Linked DNA regions of Drosophila melanogaster. The protein of the gene in region 2 binds, or shares a complex with, the protein of the main gene of each other region. Each region holds a gene or a part of one and is shown on either strand. Other genes may lie near its edges.

Region 1 (5,439 bases), on a different chromosome or scaffold from region 2:
TAGCTGACCCCAGGCCAGAGGAGGATCGTGCAGATCGATATGTATAAATGTCTGGGAGGGCGAATCCGTTGGTTCCTCAGCCAGTTCCCCACCCGAATCTTCGTCACTCTCCTGGCAATCTTCAACAGCGAAATCGTTCTCCTGCTGCATCTCACCCTCAAATCCATGAAAGAACTGCAGGCTAAGTGCCTCCATGTCGTGTTCTGGACCAGAGATTCTGCCTTCCGTTGCCCTTATCAACTTTTGCACCTCCTGCTCCCTTTTCCGATACCCTCTGGTGGTATGGGTCTTGCGTTTCTTCTTTGCAGTCTTCCTGGATAGAGCGGCTTCCATGTTACATAGGTTATTACAAACGGAAAATGCCAGGCAAACAATATTCCGCCTGCTTTGACCTTTCAACTGGTTGCCATGGGCAACTGACTTGACCACTGTTACACACCTGCTCACCACCAGCTATCTATCGTCTATCGCCTTGAATGAAACATCAAAAAAACATACCCCAAACGTATTTTGTTTTCGTTTTCTTTTTGCTGTTTACATACAAATACATGGCAAATCTACTATTAGGCATACTGGAAGGAGGAGGGGTGTGCGCAAGAAAGGTCATTTAATTAGATGTTATGTTCGCAATTGCTGATTGAGTTGAAGTTTACTTTTGGGCTTATAATTCGTATGTTCGTATGTTGTATGTATAGGCAAAGGTTCCGCTTAGAGTTGTTTGCAAGCAGACGCGTGCTACTGTATTGGATAATGGATTAGGGCCCTGGCATCAACCAGGGCGTAGACGCGTCCCGGACACGAAATGTGAGGCGACAGGATCGCTTCGAAGTAGGCAGGGGACGACAGCGTTGGAGTGGCGTTGAGGGGGTCGTCTACTCCAGCAGAGTGACTTCTTCCTTGACTAAAAATTCAACAATTTCTTCATCCACTTCGTCAGTTTCCAGGTTGTCTGTGTCCACATCTGTTGCGTAAGGATAATATACATATAGAAATCGGCAAATTTTAAACAATTTGTTTCTTGAGAATACTTACGCCCTCGCAGCATGATGCGACGACTCTTCTGCTCCGCCCACTCGGCAATACGCTTGTTGCGGTACTCCATAAAGGTCTCGCGCAGCTGCGAGCGCTTCTCGAGCAGCTCCTTGGAGGCACGGGTAAGGCGCAGGCGATCCTTTTGTTCGAAGGCAGCGTAGTACTTCTTCAAGTTCTTCTTGATCTCCTTCTGCTTCTCCTCGCTAAGCAGGGTGGGAGGACGCGGGCGCCACAAGAACTGCACAAAGTTCTTAAGAATGGTACGCTTGATGATGCGGCCCTGGAACGTGTACATGTTGAAGCCGGTATCCTCTTTCACCTTCCATGACGAGACACCAGTCACAACGTAGCGTCCAGTGGGATCCCACTCGACCTCGGAAGCGCGGAAATGATCGGGCGATGCCGTGATGATGTAATCGTTGGTGGAGTCCACAAACTCGAAGGTACCCATGGTGAGGTTGGCCATTACGATAAACTGACCGCGTGGCGACCAGAACAGATGTGTGCATGACTTCTTTTCTAGACGCTTCACCAAGCTGGGCTTAACGCCCTTGTTCACCTCGTAGAAGCTCACATTCGACGAGTTGGTCTCGCCGTGAATGATGGAGAACTTGTTGCCGACGGGCTCCCAGGCAAAGGCCAAAATAAGCTCACGAATCTCCACAGAGTCGACGGGAATCTCCTTCTCGCGCATGTGGAAGATCTCAAAGTTGTAGAACATGCCCAGAAACTTGACGTCCAGGTCCTTCTTATCCTTCTTCAACTTTGAGTAACGATCTACCTTAACGCACAGATAGTCGCCGGACTTTTGCCAATGTAACTTGCAATCGGCCACATGGAAAAGGTTCTTGTTACGGATCTCACGCTTCTTGGGGATCTCCATCAGGGTAACGCGGGCGGGTATTTGGTTCTGCTCCTCCACCCAGTAGGCAATCACGTTGTCTGTGGGGGACCAAGAGAAGCCACGAATGCCGGGAATCTTAATGGACTTCAGGTCCAGAAGATAGAAAGAGGGTGTCTCGTAGATGTGGATCGAATTCTCGCCCATGCGGGCCACAAACTTGTCGTCGTGCGACCAGCGGAACATAGAAAGAACCGACATGCCATCGGCAACAAACGAACGTTTCTCGGCTCCAGTGCGAATGTCCCAGATGATGATCTTTTGGCCCGTGGGTGTCGGTCCGTAAGTCACTAGGTAATTCTCGCAGGGCGAAAACTCAACGAATTGGGTACCAGGATGGGGAAACTTCTGAATCTTCTGGAAGCTACTGCCACCCCAGATGGCCACACCGGGTTTGTGGAAGGTGACTACATAAGTACCCAGGGGCGACCACTTGACGAAGGTGTCGGTGAAGCGTTCGCGAGTCTCCAGCTCAAAGGGTTCGGGCAATACGTTTTGCCAGAAACCAACCTGCACGCAGTTGGGAGCGGTCTCCGCTGCCACGCAGTACTGGTCATAAGTGTCCGGGTCATTGATGAAGTTGTATAGATCGCTCTGCACTTTGAAGGTCTGCACGGTTGGCGGCTCCCACTTCTCGGGGATGTTTTCGTACCTGCCAAGATTAAATTTTATTAATCTCATTGCTTGATGCGGATGCAAGGAGAACTTACTTTTGGAAATCGGTGAAGAGATTGACGGCAAAGGTGTGGTTTTTGTCTAGGCGATGATTGTTGAGCTTCTTGACGGCTTCCTCCGCCTGTCTGGCCTGCTTGTACTCCATGAAGGCGTAGCCCTTGGTCTTGCCCTCCTCGTCGACGGGATAGACCACATTGACGATTTCTCCGTAGTTCGAAAACAGCTTGTTGATGACCAACTTCAGCTTCTCCAGGCGCACCGGCTCCACCTTTGGGATATTGTCCACTACCACCACACTCTCGACGCCATCGGCCTCCGAGGGGCGCTGGGCCAACATGTCGCCCAGCAGATCTGAAAGTGCATCACGAATATATTTAATTAGATATGCAAATGCAAACTTTCGCACACCGCACACGGATTGAGGTTAGATCGCCGCGTGTGATGCGCTGGCAGTCGGTGATTTTCACCTTCATCACTAATGTTGTCCACGAACCCGGGCGGATCGTCAAAGTTCGGCTCCTCCTGGTAATCACTGTCGTTCGCATCCGTACCGGAGTGCTCCTCGCTTTTCTTCTTGGCCATATTCAGCGATCTATTTGCAATTTTCCGTCATTAAACACACAAGCACAAAGTGAAAAAGGAAGAGCGAGATGCCGCATTTGCCAGTCAAGGCGAAACACTGTTTTGTGTGAATGGTTAGTGTTGCCAACTACTCACTGCGTTGATAACGCGGCGGGGTAACTTTTATTAATATTTATAAATACATATGTACATGCATATATTTTAATTTACTGTTTCTTAGATTTATTTGTATTTATACTGCATATGTTTGCTTGACAGCAATGACAATAATATCTGGATCCTTCTCTTATGGATCCTTAACAACAGAATCTTAGGTGCTTATCTGGTGATAATGTGTTAAAACGGCTAAATATTATCATTTTGTATTTCATGTACATACAATTATTTAATATTAGTCAATATGTATTAAGCAAAGTATAACCTATAACAACTAGTTTAATCGTTCTTTAATAATACATACATTTTTTCCGCTTGCAACTCTAGCGATGGAAGTTTTGAAGCATGTTCAACCGATTTTTTAGAATTAGGCATCAATCGATTTGTTGCCGATAAGCCAAAACCGATTGCATCGAGTAATCATCGGCTGGGGTTCCATCTCTCACATGAAAATTTGTAAGATTTTAGAGCAGATCGGTGTCCGTGATTTTCTCAATTTAAGCCCAATTTGTAGTATTAAAGCTGTTGAAAAATGCAGCGGGGACGAGCGCGAACCGTGTGAAATGCATGCGAAAGTCGTCGGTGCAGCAAATCAGTGCGAAAAACATCCCAAATGTGCGTAGGCCCCACACTCACTCTCGCACACACACCCGCGCGCACATACACAGCTTTTTCGGTCACCACTCGTTCGCTGTGGGTGCGAGCAGTACCACACTAGCAGTGTCGCACACCAGCACTGCCAGTGCAGCGGGAGCGACAGAGAGGCAAACAGCGGGCGGCGGACAACAACAGTGCGAGGCGAAGGAAAATGTTTTCATTTACTTAAGTCGGCGGTTCCCCAAAGAAAATTGGAAACTTGCTGGCTTAAAACGGATTGGGAAAACATTAATTATACCATGGACGGGCGGTTGAACACTGCGATGGGTTGAAAAGTGCGTAAATGGCTTGTCCAGACGAGCAAATCGCAACAGCTGATGCAGCAGCATCTCGAGAAAAGCGAACAGGCAACTGTAAAGTGTTCTCTGTTATTGTCGCACTGCAGCCCCGCCCCCGCCCACCACCCACCGTCGCGCTCCGTGAATGATTCACATTTTCTTTCGGCTGCCCGCCTGCCTTTTAAGCTTTTTCCCTGCCCCGCCCGCCGAAAAAAATTCGCTGACAATGCGTGTGCGCAATTAGTTATTTTTCTCGATTTCCAAGTGGTTTGACAAAGTGCCAATCGTGTTTTTGTATTTTCTTGTGTTTAGGCTCCAAGTGAAAATCACCTAAGCTGAGGAAAACTCCAAGCCACACTCACACACACACGCACTCGCTCGCACGCAGAAAAGAGACAAGTGAAAAAGGAAAAGCGGTGTGTTGTGGTCAAACATAGAGTGCGAAAAGTGCAAAAAGTGCGGAAAGTGAAGTGGCGGGCGTCGGAGAGCCGGAGTCCGTCGCAGGAAAATCCGTCAGCATGGATGTCGAAACACAGGAAATACGACAGGTAAGCGCAGCAAGAGGGCTTCCCGTGTACAAAGTTACACATAAAATAAACTCATATTTGAGCTAAAAACAAAAAGCACTCATTAACATTCCAACGGAGGCGAAGCGGGCCTAAACACCTACTCTCTTGGCCAAAATGGTGCGCTGAGGTAATGCCGCTCGGCAACTTAGCGCTTAGTATGCGACCGACACCTACTTACCAATCGACTGGTTTCGATGGCCAATGCAAACAACTACAACCGGTAGTTGTGTGGGGTGTGCTTGTGCTGATCGGAATATAATGCCAGCAGCCAACATCCATTCATAAAACTGCAGCTGAAAAATCGAAGCCGGAAAATACGCTTTACCCCTGCAAGATTAGGCATTTGTTATCGTTTTTCTCGCTTTGAGCTGGCCGCTGTTGCATGACCTAATCGCTAAATATGAAAAGAAAAAACAAATAATAAAAAAAAAAAAAAACGGCTTACGCATGCGAATGCCAGGCGCAAAGGGAGAAACGCTAACACTCTGCTCGGCGGTTTGGGGCCTTGCGTGTACACCGACTTTTCCCCCAGACAACTCCCTAGAAAGTCGCGCTGGAGTCTCGTTCTTGGCCAGCAAAAACAAACAGC
Region 2 (4,554 bases):
GCAATTAAATTTTCCGAAAGTTAGTTTCGTTTGTTTTCAGAACGAACCAGTGGAAGGAAAACTCACACTGATGAAAGACATTCAGCTCGGGCTCCTCGCAGGATTGAAGCAGCAGCTCCAACAGTTCGGCATCGCCCAGAATGGCCGCCGTGCCCACGGCAGTGCGTCCGCAAGTGGGCGATACATACGAGGCCTGGGCACCTTGCATGATGCAGCCCAGAGCCTGCTCGAAATCTCCGCTCTGTACGGCGGTTAGCAGGCGTTCGTTGAGGTCGTAGGACAGCATTTTGCCATCGGGTTAGTAATTTAGTTAGTTAGGCTAACTGAAGCTGGTTAGCGAAAAGGCGAAGCGAAAAGAACAAACCAAATGATAAGCAGCTGCTTGTGGGGTGGTGTGAAAAGTGCGTCGATGTCGTCAGTGGCAGCAACACTCCCCCGGAAAGTCTCATCGAGAAGTGAAACCAAACATCCGGCGTGCGCAGAAGCAGTACCAATTTTTGGCTGCATAGCGGGTGGTGGTTTTCTTTTTTTGGGGCGGTTTGAATTGGCCATTCTATTGAGCAAATGGAGAGTACAATAAAGAAGAAATCAGCTGGCAGTTCGCTTCCAAGCCCACTCATCGCTTGTTTGGTTTATTTTCGACGTCTGTGTGTGCAGTTGCTATGTTTGTGGGTAGTGAATGTTGTTGCCTCAGCTTAAAAAACGCTTAACATTAGCTAATCTATTTGGTTTCCTTTGCTTCCTTGGCAATTTGCAGCGATTCCGTGATGAAGAGTTTGGCCAGCGATTGCGAACAGAATTGTGCGATATGCTGGGCGTGGGTATTGATCTGGCCAGAGGTTATGGTGGCCGTCAGGCGGTTGGGCGCAGTCATGGGGCGGAACTGTTTGATCACTTCCTCCTCTGGCACCGTGGGCTCTCCCTTCGATGTGCGAACGGCGTTCTCGGCGGCCAGCTTAGCCAGAGCACGGTGCTTCTCCTAAAAAATATAAATGCAAGGAAAGCGATTAGGAATTTTTACATATTTAATTATATTGCTACGTACCGTATCCTGCTTGAAGACCACCTGCTGGTACTTGTTATAGCGCACTGCCTCCTGGTACAACTCGTCGACGCGCTCGATCAGGCTACGCATTTGGTTCTCCAATACGGTGGCGGTGCCCAGGTCCAGGAAGTTGTGCCCCTTGTCCTCGGGCAGCAGCTCGTTCAGCTCGCTCATCATAATGTTGGTCAGCGGCGAGTTCTTGATCACAATGGGAATCTCGGCGAAGAGGTTCTCGTAGCCGACCTTCAGGGTGCGGAATGCCTCTGGAGTGAAGTCGCCATCCTTGTACATCTGAATGGCCTGCGGAGTAAGGCGGTAGGCCTTCAAGCACAGGAATCCGCGGGATGACTTCTGCGTATCGTAGACGACAACGACGGACTCTTCAATGCTGGTCTGGTAGTGGTACTGCGATTCCAACAGAGCCATTGACAGGCTGTTGCCCACGTCGGAGCTCTGGTACCAGCCCACATGGAGATGATCTACGTTGACGCGACGCAGGCGACGCATCACGGTCAGCTGGTACATCTCCTCGTCCATGGTCTCATCGCCGCTCTTGGGAAACGGGAAGCAGTTGGTGATCTCCAGGCACTTGTCTACCACCAGACCGAGCAGGGCGCCCTGGGCGAGGTCCATGTTGCTCGACTCCTCATGGCAGTGCTTCACCATCTTCATGACGGCCTGCAAGGTAAAGTGATCGTAGTAATTATGTTCCAAAATCAATTAGCGACAGACAACTATTTGCATTTGAACAGGGGCGTGGAAAGTAGATATATTTCGGACTTTCTTTTAATAGTTTCTCTGAAGAAAACATTTGACTGAAGTTTTTTGTGCTATGGTAATGAAGAGACCGGCCCCCTTTTCCTTATAGCTCTACGCCCATGTCCTCACGAACACCCATACAAACACACACAAAGCACGCAAATTTCTGAGACAGCGCGTGGCATTAACTTTTCCGGCTTTCGCGCCGGTTCCCACGGGCCAATCTCGGCCAGGTCTTTTGGCCAACAGCACTACTCACCAGTCCGTCGCATTGGACGTAGTTAATGGTATTATCCGAATCCTCGGTGCGAGCAGCATGACGATTTGCGCGATTTGCCATGTTGACGAATTGTAAGCGAAAAGACCCACGACGTGAACTCGGCTGCAGTGGTAAAAGGGCGTTTCGCAACACCACAATTTTTGTGTGGGTTGAAGTGTTGAAAAGCGTGCACTGCTTTAAAATCAGCTGTTCGGGCGAGCGATAAAAAAAGGCCCAAAATATATTTTGTTTATCAGTGGAAAAGCAACAGAAACAAACTCAAAATTGTACTTCCTAGAAAACCGAGAAACGGCCCACTTGTCACGAACGAGCGGAACGGTACTGATAACTGCGGTTGCCGCAACTTGTAGCTAGTCTTAGTTCTCTTCGCATTAGCAACGCAACGCTGGCAGTACGAAGACCGCAGAAATGTCAACTAATTGGCGTGAATTGTTCCCCACCAAGCTCACATTTGTGATCTTCCTGTTGTACATGTCCCTATTCATAGGACAGGGTATGCAGCTGCCTTATTAAGGCTTTTTACGCAAGCCAAAGCCGCACCCTAATTCCTGTCTATTTTGCAGGCATCTTTGTCACAGCATCTCAGGAATCGAATAACTCCTATGGCTACAATACCGTCACGGTTGTGCTGCTAACCGAGGTCTTTAAATTGATAGTCTCCACCTGTCTGTATTGCCGAGAGTGAGTAGGAGTGGAGGCGCTCCTTTGTCTCGCTATTAAACCGCGATTTCATTCACAGCAACAACCTACGCTCCCTGGTGCGCGATGTTCAGAAGGATCGGAATGTATTGGGCTTGTACATGGTGCCCGCCTTTCTCTACTGCCTGTACAACAATTTGGCCTTTGTCAACTTGGCCACATTCGATCCCACCACCTACTATCTGCTACTGCAGCTACGTGTCGTTGTCACGGGCATACTATTCCAAATTATCTTCAAGAAGTACCTGTCGCAAAGGCAATGGATCTCCCTCATACTGCTGACACTCGGCTGTATGATGAAGCAGGTCGATTTCGGCAGCTTCTACAGCGATGCGAATGATGACAGCGAGTCCGCAGCCATACAGCAGCAGCTGCAATCACATAATAAAACAACTTCTGCAGAGACGCACGCTCACGGCAAGAACATGTCCGGCTTCGATTTTAGCCTGAGTGCCGTCTTCATTCTGGCACAGACAATTTGCTCTTGTCTGGCGGGCGTTTACAATGAGTATCTGCTTAAAGATAAGGGAGCCGATGTGAATATCTTTGTACAGAATGTCTTCATGTACCTGGACTCGATTGTCTGCAATGCAGTCATCCTCTTGCTGCGCGGCGAGCTCCTTGATGCCTTTAGTCCGCAGAATCTGGGCAGTATTATGCGCTTTAGCGTGCTAATCATTATTGTTAACAATGCGGCTATTGGCATTGTCACGAGTTTCTTCCTCAAGTACATGAACTCCATTCTAAAGACCTTCGCGAGCGCTCTGGAGTTGCTCTTCACGGCAGTCCTATGCTACTTCCTCTTCTCCATACCCATTTACATGAACACCGCGCTGGCCATCGCGGTTGTATCCTACGCCATCTATCTCTACACCCAAAGCCCGGTGGTTAATTTGGGCAAGGTGCGTCCGCTGTCCAATTTAAGTGATGCCACGACCAAATCAACGGATAAACGAAAGCTGATCGACGAGGAAGCGGCAGAATCGGACCTCGATATGGTGTAATGCTGTAGCTTGTCCTAGACGTAATCTTAGACTGTAAATAGTTGTGGAAAAGTGCCTGCAAATGTTTTAAACGCCAGACGAATGTATTTGACCCCAGGCTTTGTGCAATGCAATAGCAACAGGCTTGTAAATACCAAAACTTTTGCTCCTCTAGTTTAAGATTCTTATTTTAATCAGAACATAAATGCAATCAAACGAATATTGTGCATGCTTCTTCAAGAAGCTTTTTATTTTATGGTTCATATACTATCACATATGTACATGGTATATTTGGATGCCTGCTTGTCTTAGCCTAAAATGGTGTGTCCACATCATGTCCATCTTCCTGTTTGGGCGGTATGCGACTACGAAGCGCTATCTGCACCGCCTGGTTTTCGATGCTGCGGAGATAGTAGTCACACTCCTTCAGATGCTTCTCCATGTCCTGGACTCGGTGTGTGGCGTTGTACTTGCAGGTCTGCAGCGGCGGTCCACAGTAGTTCTTCTCGCACTTAATTAAGTGCTTGGGCATCCGGAAGAGCAAGATGCGGTGCGATTTGTCGTAAGGGCAAATTCCGTACTCGAAATCGGACATTTTGAAAAAGTCAAGAGCCGTTTGTCAAAACAACAAATTCATAAAGCTTAAGGTACCGCTATGTTTTAAAGTTTTAGTTATCGGTTGTGTTATCGGAAGTAAGGAATTTTCGATTTATTTATTTTTCAAACCAGCTGTCAAGATATTGACCTTATACGGAATACCCCCGATGAATATAGGGTCACACTGAGCA
Region 3 (4,433 bases), on a different chromosome or scaffold from region 2:
CAAGCTGCCGGAGGATGATCCTTACCTGGACTTGGCCATTCTCGGACAGTCGAACCACTTTATCGGCAACTGTATATCCTCTTACTCGGCATTCGAAAAAAGGGAACGAGATGTGCACGGTTTTCCATCGTACTTCTGGGGATTCCCCAAGGAAAAGGATCGTAAGCATACAAACGTGCACGAGGAGCTGTAATGGAGCAACAGGATTATCTACTTAAATACTCGAATAGGCTATTTTTCGGTTTTCTTTCCTAATACTAGACAGTTTTATTACATTGATTAAGCAATATTCTGGACTTCACTTCTTAAATGGTTAAGGTAAAAGTTTCAACTTACAAATTTAATGAATTTACTTTTGAATGTTACCAATATTTAGTGCTTTTAAAGAATATCAGTATATTTATGTTTTATTCTTTTAGCTTTAATTCTTAAAAAGGATTTTAATGAAACCCGTTAAATGCCTTCAAAAACACTACAACTTAATTGTAAGCTATTAAAGTATTCCTCGCATTTATGAAAACACTTGTTTGCTACCGATTTTACTTATAAATTTATTCAAGTTATCCAGCCCTCTCGCATTCTTGAAAATAATTTAGGTCGTCACTCCAGTGCCCCGAGGCCAGCATTTGTTCATCATCAGTGCAATTTTTTGGAAGTGGTGCGCCTAGTGTATCAGCTTCTGGGATCGAGCCAGATCCAGTTGCGCCGAGGAGACGCTCGTTAGACCCTCGCGCACTGTGCTGAGGTTCTCCTTCCATGCCTGCAGCAAATCGCGAAGCTGCTCCCATTGTGGTGCTCCAAAGGTTCGGTGCATTGTCGATGAGATGTGTACCTTTTGATTGGCCTGATCTAGTCGTGCGCGTACCAGCTTTGTTTTCAGCACCTCGATGACGAAGGGCTCCACCTCGTCTTCGTTGATCTGCAGCTCCTTGGTAAGCGTTTCGAATGTCATCTCCGGGCTGCTCTCGGCCAGCTGCATGAAGGTCAGCAGACGCATCTTCTTCATGTTCTGCTCATGGTTCAATCCTTGCGAGTTGACAAACTCCCTGTGATCCTCGTAGAACTGCACGTACGCTGGCAGCTTCTCGGACACGAAGATGGACAGCAGGTCGTGGATGAGGTCGCCTTCCAAAAAGCGCACAGGCTTCAGCGACAGCAGAGGATCCAGCAGGAATGTATTGGGGTCGGCCAAGGCAGTCACAATGCACTTCATGGCATCCTCACGGGCAACACAAGCATTGTCCGCCGTGTAGGTGCCCAGCAGCTCAATCATAACCTTGGAAGACAGCTCCAGGTTGGTGTCCTTGGTCACGTCGTGCAGCAGGCGGTACAGCTTCTGCATCTGTTCCGACGAAGGTGGGCAGTTGGCAAACTGGGATTTGAGCTGATCCACACCTGAGAAGACCTCCAGCACCTGTTCGCACTGCTTGGCCACCTGGACCAGGTGGTAGTACACATGGTAGCGTAAGGGAGAGGCGGTGTCCAGGTTGTTGAACAGACGCCACAACGACTGAAGGCACACCTTGCCCAATGGAAGATTGGGAGCCTTGGTCATCTTCTCGCAGTAGGCCAGGACAATGTTCTCACCGCGATCCAGGGGTATCTGAAATATTGAAGGTTATTTTTTGTTGCTAATATTGTATTCTGTATTACTCACCGTGATCATGATGGACACAATGCTGTTTAGAATTCCATCAATCTGCGAGGGCTCACCATCCTTAAAGCAAACGTCGCAGACGCCGATGATCTTGTGCAAATCATCCTCCACACCTTTATTGGACTTCTCCGATGAGATTTCGGCTCCCAGCTTCTTGAAATACTTGCGCAGCTCTTGCACCTTTTAATAAATTGCGAATAATATTAGTTTTGTTTTGCAGCAAGAGGAAGACATAACCTCAATTCGGGCAAGGCGCCGCCCGAATTCATGGCTAAAACAGGGCACTTTCACTCTACCTGCTCGTCCAGGGACAGGTCTATGAAAACCGGATGCGAAGTCATGGTTTTGTTAAATGTTATTCCACTTTTTTAAACAAATTCAGCTGAAAATAACACGCACACACGTCTTCGGCGCTTTGACAGCTCGAAAGGAAAGAGAGCGACCAGTGCTGCCGGCCTGGTCCGTTTCCCGCTAATAGCGATGCTCTCAAACAATTGACCGAATTAAATTAAGATGACGTTAACGTGGCCACTTAAAATATATAATATTCCTCTGAAATTCATTCAGTTCAATAAAATTAAAATAGTTATGGCTTTGCAAGTGTATTAATGCTGACATAAAAATCAATTTTATAAATGTTTTGACGGGACTCTAGCTAACAATAAATGTGGGCAAAAGTAGTGTTCCCGGATCTTCTGAAACATATAAGTCACTAAGTGACTTCTTAGCCGTACCGTTACTAACGTTCTAAAACCCGTTTCTCCTGAATTTTAAATTTACCATCCAGCAGTTATTTATTTTACATTTATCACTTTACAGTTAAGCAAAATGACACGATTTTTGTTAAATTGTTAATTTGGCGACAGTCTGGCAACTCCGCTGCTACTAAGTTATATTGCTCGCCAAATTTATATTATATTTGTATAACGGGCGAGAAGAGCAGGAGTAATGCCAGCTAATCGGGGCGGAGAATTATGAAATACACGACACACACGCAGCGTGCGGCTTCCTAGAGCCACAGAGATTCCGCAGCAGGCGGTACAACCGTTACTAGTCAACCACTATCCTCAGCAGAACTCGTGATTACATGGCTACATCGGATTTTGTTCTGGGCGGCCTGGCCTCCGTGGGGGCCACCTTCTTCACCAATCCCATCGAGGTGATCAAGACACGGATCCAGCTGCAGGGCGAGCTGGCGGCACGGGGTACCTATGTGGAGCCCTACAAGGGGATTGTCAATGCCTTCATTACGGTGGCCAAAAATGATGGCATTACGGGGCTCCAAAAGGGCCTCGCACCGGCCTTGTACTTCCAGTTCATCATCAATTCCTTCCGGTGGGGAATTATTTAGTAGCTATATTTTATAATTATTAATCATCTTGAATTTACATTCGCCAGGCTCAGCATTTATTCGGAGGCAATGGAGAGGCGGTGGATGCACAACCGGAAGGGTGAGGTGTCCTACGGAATGGGACTACTGTGGGGCGCCATCGGCGGCGTCGTGGGGTGCTACTTCTCCAGTCCATTTTTCCTGGTACGCCAATTGTGGGAATGCTGCGGGAGGTTACATAAACAAATACATAGTTTATCTAAATGAGCCGCGTGCTCATCAGCATTATGGACCTTCCACAGATAAGAGACTTTATTGGCAATTGTCCATCAGTATCTAAATACTACCATTTCAAGATATCCAGGGAGAAAGTATTATACTTCCAAATATTCCATATTTTTTGACTGTTTATGGTTGTTTGCATTGCTTATTACTTTATGACATAACGCATTTATTGTTAGCCTATTTATACCAAGACATTTTCAAGATCTAGAAACAGAAAAATATTCGCTAAATAACTTAATAAGTATTGTAAACATTAACATATTATCACAGTCAATTCTCTTATGTACAATGTCTATATTTCTATATTATTATTTATGGTCCTTTCTTTTGCATCCAGATCAAAACTCAGCTGCAATCACAAGCCGCCAAGCAAATCGCCGTTGGCTACCAACATGCCCATACTTCCATGACAGATGCCCTGCGTCAGATCTACTCCAGGAATGGAGTACGAGGACTGTGGAGAGGATCTGTGGCCGCATTGCCCAGGGCGGCTTTGGGATCAGGTGCCCAGATAGCCACCTTTGGTAAGACCAAAGCCCTGTTGGTCCAGTACGATCTGGTGACCCAGCCCACGTTGAACTCCTTCTCGGCTGGCTTGATAGCCGGATCCATTATGTCGGTGGCCATAACGCCGCCAGATGTAATCACCACGCGTCTGTACAATCAGGGCGTAGACGCCGAAGGACGCGGTCTTCTTTATCGCGGTTGGCTTGACTGCTTTGTGAAAATCCTACGATCAGAGGGCGTTTATGGTATGTACAAGGGGTTCTGGGCCAACTACTTGCGCATTGCCCCCCACTCAACCCTTGTGCTGCTATTCTTTGACGAGCTGGTCGCCGTACGCACAAAGTATAGTAATCAATGACCCCAAAGATCACTGGCTAGGTAGCATTAATTTAAGTACAAAATTGTTAAAATCGTTTTTACCACCCGGAAATATACACATTGCTTTTTATTATTAAGCCAAGCTTTGATAAACAAATTTGATATGCAAGTGCCGCCGCATACAATTTGTTTGTCTAAATCTGGCTTTAGTCTTTAGTGAGTTAGCTTAATGTCCTAGTTCCAATCTCTTAGATTAGCAAAGCCCCAGAACCAACTTGTGCCTTCATTAAGCTAATTTAAGAGCTCTTCCTGTAGCCATTAACCGTGCAATATTTT
Region 4 (4,831 bases), on a different chromosome or scaffold from region 2:
TCTCCTCTCCTCCGAAAATTCGATAAGCCGGCATGATTGGTCCACATATCTGGGTATTTGGCAAAATGTGTCCCATATTTGGGCAGCAGATGAGAACTCTGTCCAATAATTCCTGCCCCTTGGGGCCATAGCCGCAATATCTGTCCTCGAATACCGCCTTCTCGGCTGGCGTCATGTTGTGGGGCTTCAGAAAGGGCAAGAGTGATGTGCAGCGGGCTAGACTAATGCATTTCTCATCCAGATTACAAGGCGGATATTCTGATACAGTAAAGAATTGGATATTAATAAATATTATATTATGTGAGTCATTTTAATTGGATGTTTAGATAATGATTGGACGAAACAAAGCTATTTATATTTTAAAATTCAAGGAAATACCCATATCCAAATGAATCATTTTCTTGAATGTTATAACGTATACAATGTGGAGTACTTGCAACATATATTACCAGACTCAGCCAGGTACATCAGCAATTGAGTATGCAGGACCAGGAAGGATATGTACACTCTTTGTAGGAAGACCATCTTTAACCGTCAGAGTTTAAACAATGTCTAAATCTTAACTAGATGCCCGACACGCACAATCAGCTTACTATATATGAGTCCGGGAAATGAGTCAGTCATTTACGTACAAGACCTCGGTGTTTCAGTCGAAAGTTTTTATCACAAGTACCCGGCATTAGACCTGGACCAATAAAAATTCATGTATTGTTTCGCCCTCTGTGATTTACTAGGAAATATCTGAATTTAAATCGAATACAAATGCTTAAGCTAGGGCCTATAACATGACCTTTTCCTTTAGAGGACATCAGTTGTGGTTATTCTTAGCGGGTTGTGGCAAAAGAGCCCAAGACTGGAAGGGATGCAGGAGTAGGGGGGCGTGGCGTCTAAATCTTGTTGTGCGCGTAGTTGTAGACCTGCTGGAAACCTTCGTCATCGCCCTCGCCATCGTCCGAGTCATCGGAGTCGAAAGTATTGTCTGGGATGTCGTACAGACGGATGATCGGCTTGTTGGGGTCCTTCATGATCAGGTATTTGCCATCCTTCTGCTTCATCACCAGATCGATGATGCATCTCAGGATTCCCCAGGCGTTGTCCATGCTCAGGTTGATCTGAGTGGCAAATTCATGCGGCTTGAACTGCTGCGTGCCGAGGATGACGTGACGCGAGTGATCTCTCGGATTGATACGCGACACATAGCCGAGCTTTAGCTGATCGGACCCGGCCAGGACGGCCTGCACAGTCCACTTGGCCAGCTTGCATGCGTTGTTCCTCAGCTCGTTGGCGAGCACAGCACCGCGCTGCGTGTCCAACTTTTGACGCCATTCCACGCCATTGGCCAACTTCGAGTCCCACTCGTTGAGTGCCTTGATAGTCATGAACTGCGGCTCGCCGCTTGGCGTCTGCAGGACACCATCGTGCTCGCAACGCGCTACCAGGACCTAAAAGTATAAGACAATAGTTTAACATAATATAGAAAAATATTCCAACTTTAAAGTTGGATTATGCAACACTTACAATATCGCTTCCCAGCTCCCACTTCTTGTAGCGGTAGCCCACGCTGGCGACTTGGATATCTTCGTCCTCGCTGATGAAAGGGTTGCTTTCCTCGAACTTGTATTTGGGTTCCTGGTCTCCAGTCTTAAGCACCTGCTGGCTAAAGTTGTGGTTAATGAAAGTCGCCTCGATGGCCAGGTTGCGAGGGGAGTTGCATGAGCTGTCGTCGTCGGTCGGTGGTTCCACGCTGCTCTCGTTCACGGTCAACAGATCGAACTCGGTGTGGTCACGCTTGTCCATGAACACCTTGTCGCCTAAAATAAGGTTACAATTATTATTTATTTCTCTTATTATTATTATATTTCGTATTTCATTTAACATACCAACTTTCTCGATGACAATATCCCAGGAATAGTTCGATCGCGTAGAGCACATGATGGTGGCCAGGATGGCGTCCGTGGCGAAGACATTGCCGACGGTCTTAGACAAACGCCGGATGACGGGATCGTCTGTGGTGGTCACCGTATGCACGATGCGATCGATCTTCTGCAGCGGCTTCTCGTTCTTCACATTGATGCGGTCGTAGGTCTTGTCGTAGTACTCCAACGTGCCGCAGGTGACAATATCGACGCCCTCCTTGATGTTGGGCAGCGACAGCTTGATGAGTCGCGGGAAGTCCATCTCCTCGATGGATGCCCAATCGGCGCGGACGGCCACCGAAGATTCGCGCATCTTTGGTGGTGGTCCGCGATGACCGAACTTCTTGCCCATGCCGCGACCATGGCGCGGATCGCGGGCCTTTACATTCTTGCCGCTGAGCGTCGTCATGCCGTGAGTATTAAGGCCACCGCGGGCATTCCTGCCACGACCGGAACGCGAATTCCTCATGTTGCGGAACCGGCCGCGCTGGTGCGGCGGCTTCTGGACGCGGGCCGTGTCCACCAGGTGGAAGGTTGTCTCGTCCTCCTCATGGTAGTACGAGTACTGAATGCCCGTGCCAAAGCTGGAGGCATACTTGTCTGCGAATGGAATACCAACCACCAATATGTTAGCAACAATATCATGCCACGACACACCTACCTAACCTCACTTTCGGCGATTAGTATTTTGTGGGTCGGTTTCGGGTGGGGAATAAACTCACTCTGGTACTTCTTGTCGTTGTTCGACGTATTCGTCCAGTCGCAGATCTTGCCCAGACGATCGTTCTTGCTGAACGGCTGGTACGGCACATCCTTGAACGTATCGGGCAGCTCGCAGGGACCCCAGCCCTTTTCATTGAACTGCACGGTCGGCTTCTCGAAGCTCGGGAACTGAGCCGCGGTGTTTATGGTCTCGCTCATCTCGCGCGTTTACCTGGTGCTCAGTCTGCAGTCGGCTATTCGGTCTATATACAGCGATTTTCCAGAAATCAACAAAGAAATGTGGAAAATTCGTATCGTCGCGTGTTGCGAAAATAGTTGAGTGGGACCGTTGTCGCGTTGAAATATACCACCGCCAAAGAAAAATACTAAAATCGTAGCGAATGTTCAAAGGTCTGGCAGCATGCTGTCATAGATGGCGCCACTGCTGGGCGGGAAAACTAAAAATTCGAACTATTCATTTTTCAGAACCTGATTTTACGATTTAATTACAAAGAAAATGCAAAAAATATTTTTTAATAAAAAAATGTATTGTTAAATGAACACAATATTTATTGACAATTATTTAGCTGCTTATTGAACTTTTCCTTATACTTGGCGCAAAAAATGGCATCAAAATGATCAGTTAAGTTTGCTGATAGATCCGCGTTATAAACCTTAAAATCACAAAGTTTTATTTTAGATTTCATGAATTTCTTTCGCATTTAAACTCACGTTATCCAGAGCTACGGCTGGCACTCCCTGAAATGAGACCTTGGCCGTTTCCTTGCCGTACTTCCTCAGAATGTCGTTCACCTGTCGCGTTTTCTTGCAATTTTTGACATCGCCCACGTCGATTTGATAGTGGTCAGCGCACTTTTCCAGCCTGTTCTTCTTACCCCTCATCATGCAGGCGATCAGCTTGAGGGATTGGGCAATGTCATGGTGCTCCAGTATGCAGGCGTGCCACGCGTTCAATTCGCACTCCATCACTCCGTGCTGGCACTCCACATTTCCGTCATCGTTCGTCTGGAGGGGATTAAGCGAAGTTTAAGTGCGGATTAACGCTGATTGACACTCTAAAACTTCAAATTGAGCTATACTATGTACTTGTACTATAACTACTAGTTTAAGCTACGAAAAATGAAACCTACCCTGGCATTTCCATAAGGAACCAGCGTAAGATCAGTGAATGGAAGTCGATCCTGACGGACCATCGAGGGATTGAGCTGCGTGGTCACGAACTCCATGCAGTAGGGACACAATGCTTCGTAGTACAGGGTGATCGCCAGTCGGTCAGCTTGCGGTCCGCGCAAACGCTGCAAAGTCACGATCAATGGGAGCGTCGCAATTCGGGATTCAGTCCGATCAACTGGGTCACTTACCCTTGGCGTGGCCACGCCCACCCATCCCAGCAGCAGACACACAAAGACAGCCGCCCTCATGGCAAATTCAGTTTAATCCCGAGCTGATCTTGAAATATTCGGCCGCTCAACGCCAGCGAACGCTCGACACTGAAATAATTCCGGGACTTGTAATGCGCAGCGTTGTCACTGCGTTTCGTCAAATTCGAAGCGGCCAGTGGCGTGGTTAGAAAATGCTCAAGGGGGGCTCAAAAATCATATAAGTTAAAAAAAAAATAATTATTTGTATTGCAATAGTAGGGTGACTTTTCGCTTGTTTTTTATAATTTTTCTGTAATATATCCGCTTTTGAAAAAATTAATATAAATATATAGATAAAGGGTGTGACTAGCCAACCAATTCGACGCCCCTGCTGTCAACCAGCATTTTCCCCTTTACATTTATGCGCTGACTACGGAAAACTTACTGAGCAGCGGGGTTTTAATCTTATTTTTAGACCACCAGACAGCTGTTTCTGATTAGAATCTGTATACAAAAACATGACTGATAAGCTGATATGTATATACTATACACATGTAAATTTTTATTGGCCCCAAGTGAGTCAGCGAGTAAGCAAACACTCCAGTTGGTTATAATTATTGTTTATTGGTCTTGGAACATTGAAACAGTTAAATTACTCAGTACATTACATAAAAGTTTACAAAATTGCGGAACAAGTGGGCAGTTTGATGTTGAACTTTTTCAGATACTGCCGACAGAAGTGTCTTTCGAAGTTGTTGCGAATGCTTCTCTGGTCGTAAGGATCAAAGTCCTGCGGATCAGAGGGTAATGTTAAGTTAAGTCTGGTATTTG

Evidence for each region.
Region 1: eIF3h (region 2) and eIF3b share a complex: the UniProt entries of both Drosophila melanogaster proteins name them as parts of the eukaryotic translation initiation factor 3 (eIF-3) complex.
Region 3: eIF3h (region 2) and eIF3m share a complex: the UniProt entries of both Drosophila melanogaster proteins name them as parts of the eukaryotic translation initiation factor 3 (eIF-3) complex.
Region 4: eIF3h (region 2) and eIF3d1 share a complex: the UniProt entries of both Drosophila melanogaster proteins name them as parts of the eukaryotic translation initiation factor 3 (eIF-3) complex.

The regions. Positions count from the first base shown.
Region 1 is NT_033778.4:17,534,216-17,539,654, reverse strand, and holds eIF3b (eukaryotic translation initiation factor 3 subunit b), read right to left. Parts: upstream 3,443-5,439; 5' UTR 3,326-3,442; intron 3,323-3,325; exon of another isoform or gene 3,201-3,322; 5' UTR 3,191-3,200; coding exon 3,076-3,190; intron 2,960-3,075; coding exon 2,644-2,959; intron 2,586-2,643; coding exon 1,033-2,585; intron 962-1,032; coding exon 873-961; 3' UTR 592-872; downstream 1-591. Other genes in the region: Cc2d2a (Coiled-coil and C2 domain containing 2A), read right to left, coding at 1-333; patronin, read left to right, coding at 4,800-4,829. UniProt on the Drosophila melanogaster protein: RNA-binding component of the eukaryotic translation initiation factor 3 (eIF-3) complex, which is involved in protein synthesis of a specialized repertoire of mRNAs and, together with other initiation factors, stimulates binding of mRNA and methionyl-tRNAi to the 40S ribosome.
Region 2 is NT_033779.5:5,050,592-5,055,145, forward strand, and holds eIF3h (eukaryotic translation initiation factor 3 subunit h), read right to left. Parts: upstream 2,493-4,554; 5' UTR 2,145-2,492; coding exon 2,064-2,144; intron 1,724-2,063; coding exon 1,046-1,723; intron 980-1,045; coding exon 722-979; 3' UTR 602-721; downstream 1-601. Other genes in the region: CG9121 (uncharacterized protein), read right to left, coding at 67-286; senju, read left to right, coding at 2,493-2,577, 2,648-2,765, 2,824-3,787; CG14036 (uncharacterized protein), read right to left, coding at 4,080-4,361. UniProt on the Drosophila melanogaster protein: Component of the eukaryotic translation initiation factor 3 (eIF-3) complex, which is involved in protein synthesis of a specialized repertoire of mRNAs and, together with other initiation factors, stimulates binding of mRNA and methionyl-tRNAi to the 40S ribosome.
Region 3 is NT_033778.4:14,162,534-14,166,966, forward strand, and holds eIF3m (eukaryotic translation initiation factor 3 subunit m), read right to left. Parts: upstream 2,293-4,433; 5' UTR 1,999-2,292; coding exon 1,954-1,998; intron 1,838-1,953; coding exon 1,658-1,837; intron 1,604-1,657; coding exon 665-1,603; 3' UTR 533-664; downstream 1-532. Other genes in the region: O-fut1 (O-fucosyltransferase 1), read left to right, coding at 1-193; CG8323 (uncharacterized protein), read left to right, coding at 2,745-2,992, 3,056-3,191, 3,610-4,137. UniProt on the Drosophila melanogaster protein: Component of the eukaryotic translation initiation factor 3 (eIF-3) complex, which is involved in protein synthesis of a specialized repertoire of mRNAs and, together with other initiation factors, stimulates binding of mRNA and methionyl-tRNAi to the 40S ribosome.
Region 4 is NT_033777.3:23,678,197-23,683,027, reverse strand, and holds eIF3d1 (eukaryotic translation initiation factor 3 subunit d1), read right to left. Parts: upstream 2,990-4,831; 5' UTR 2,838-2,989; coding exon 2,639-2,837; intron 2,517-2,638; coding exon 1,881-2,516; intron 1,812-1,880; coding exon 1,519-1,811; intron 1,443-1,518; coding exon 888-1,442; 3' UTR 711-887; downstream 1-710. Other genes in the region: CG16710 (uncharacterized protein), read right to left, coding at 1-258, 450-525; GILT2 (Gamma-interferon-inducible lysosomal thiol reductase 2), read right to left, coding at 3,188-3,292, 3,351-3,644, 3,770-3,934, 4,001-4,060; GILT3 (Gamma-interferon-inducible lysosomal thiol reductase 3), read right to left, coding at 4,677-4,790. UniProt on the Drosophila melanogaster protein: mRNA cap-binding component of the eukaryotic translation initiation factor 3 (eIF-3) complex, which is involved in protein synthesis of a specialized repertoire of mRNAs and, together with other initiation factors, stimulates binding of mRNA and methionyl-tRNAi to the 40S ribosome.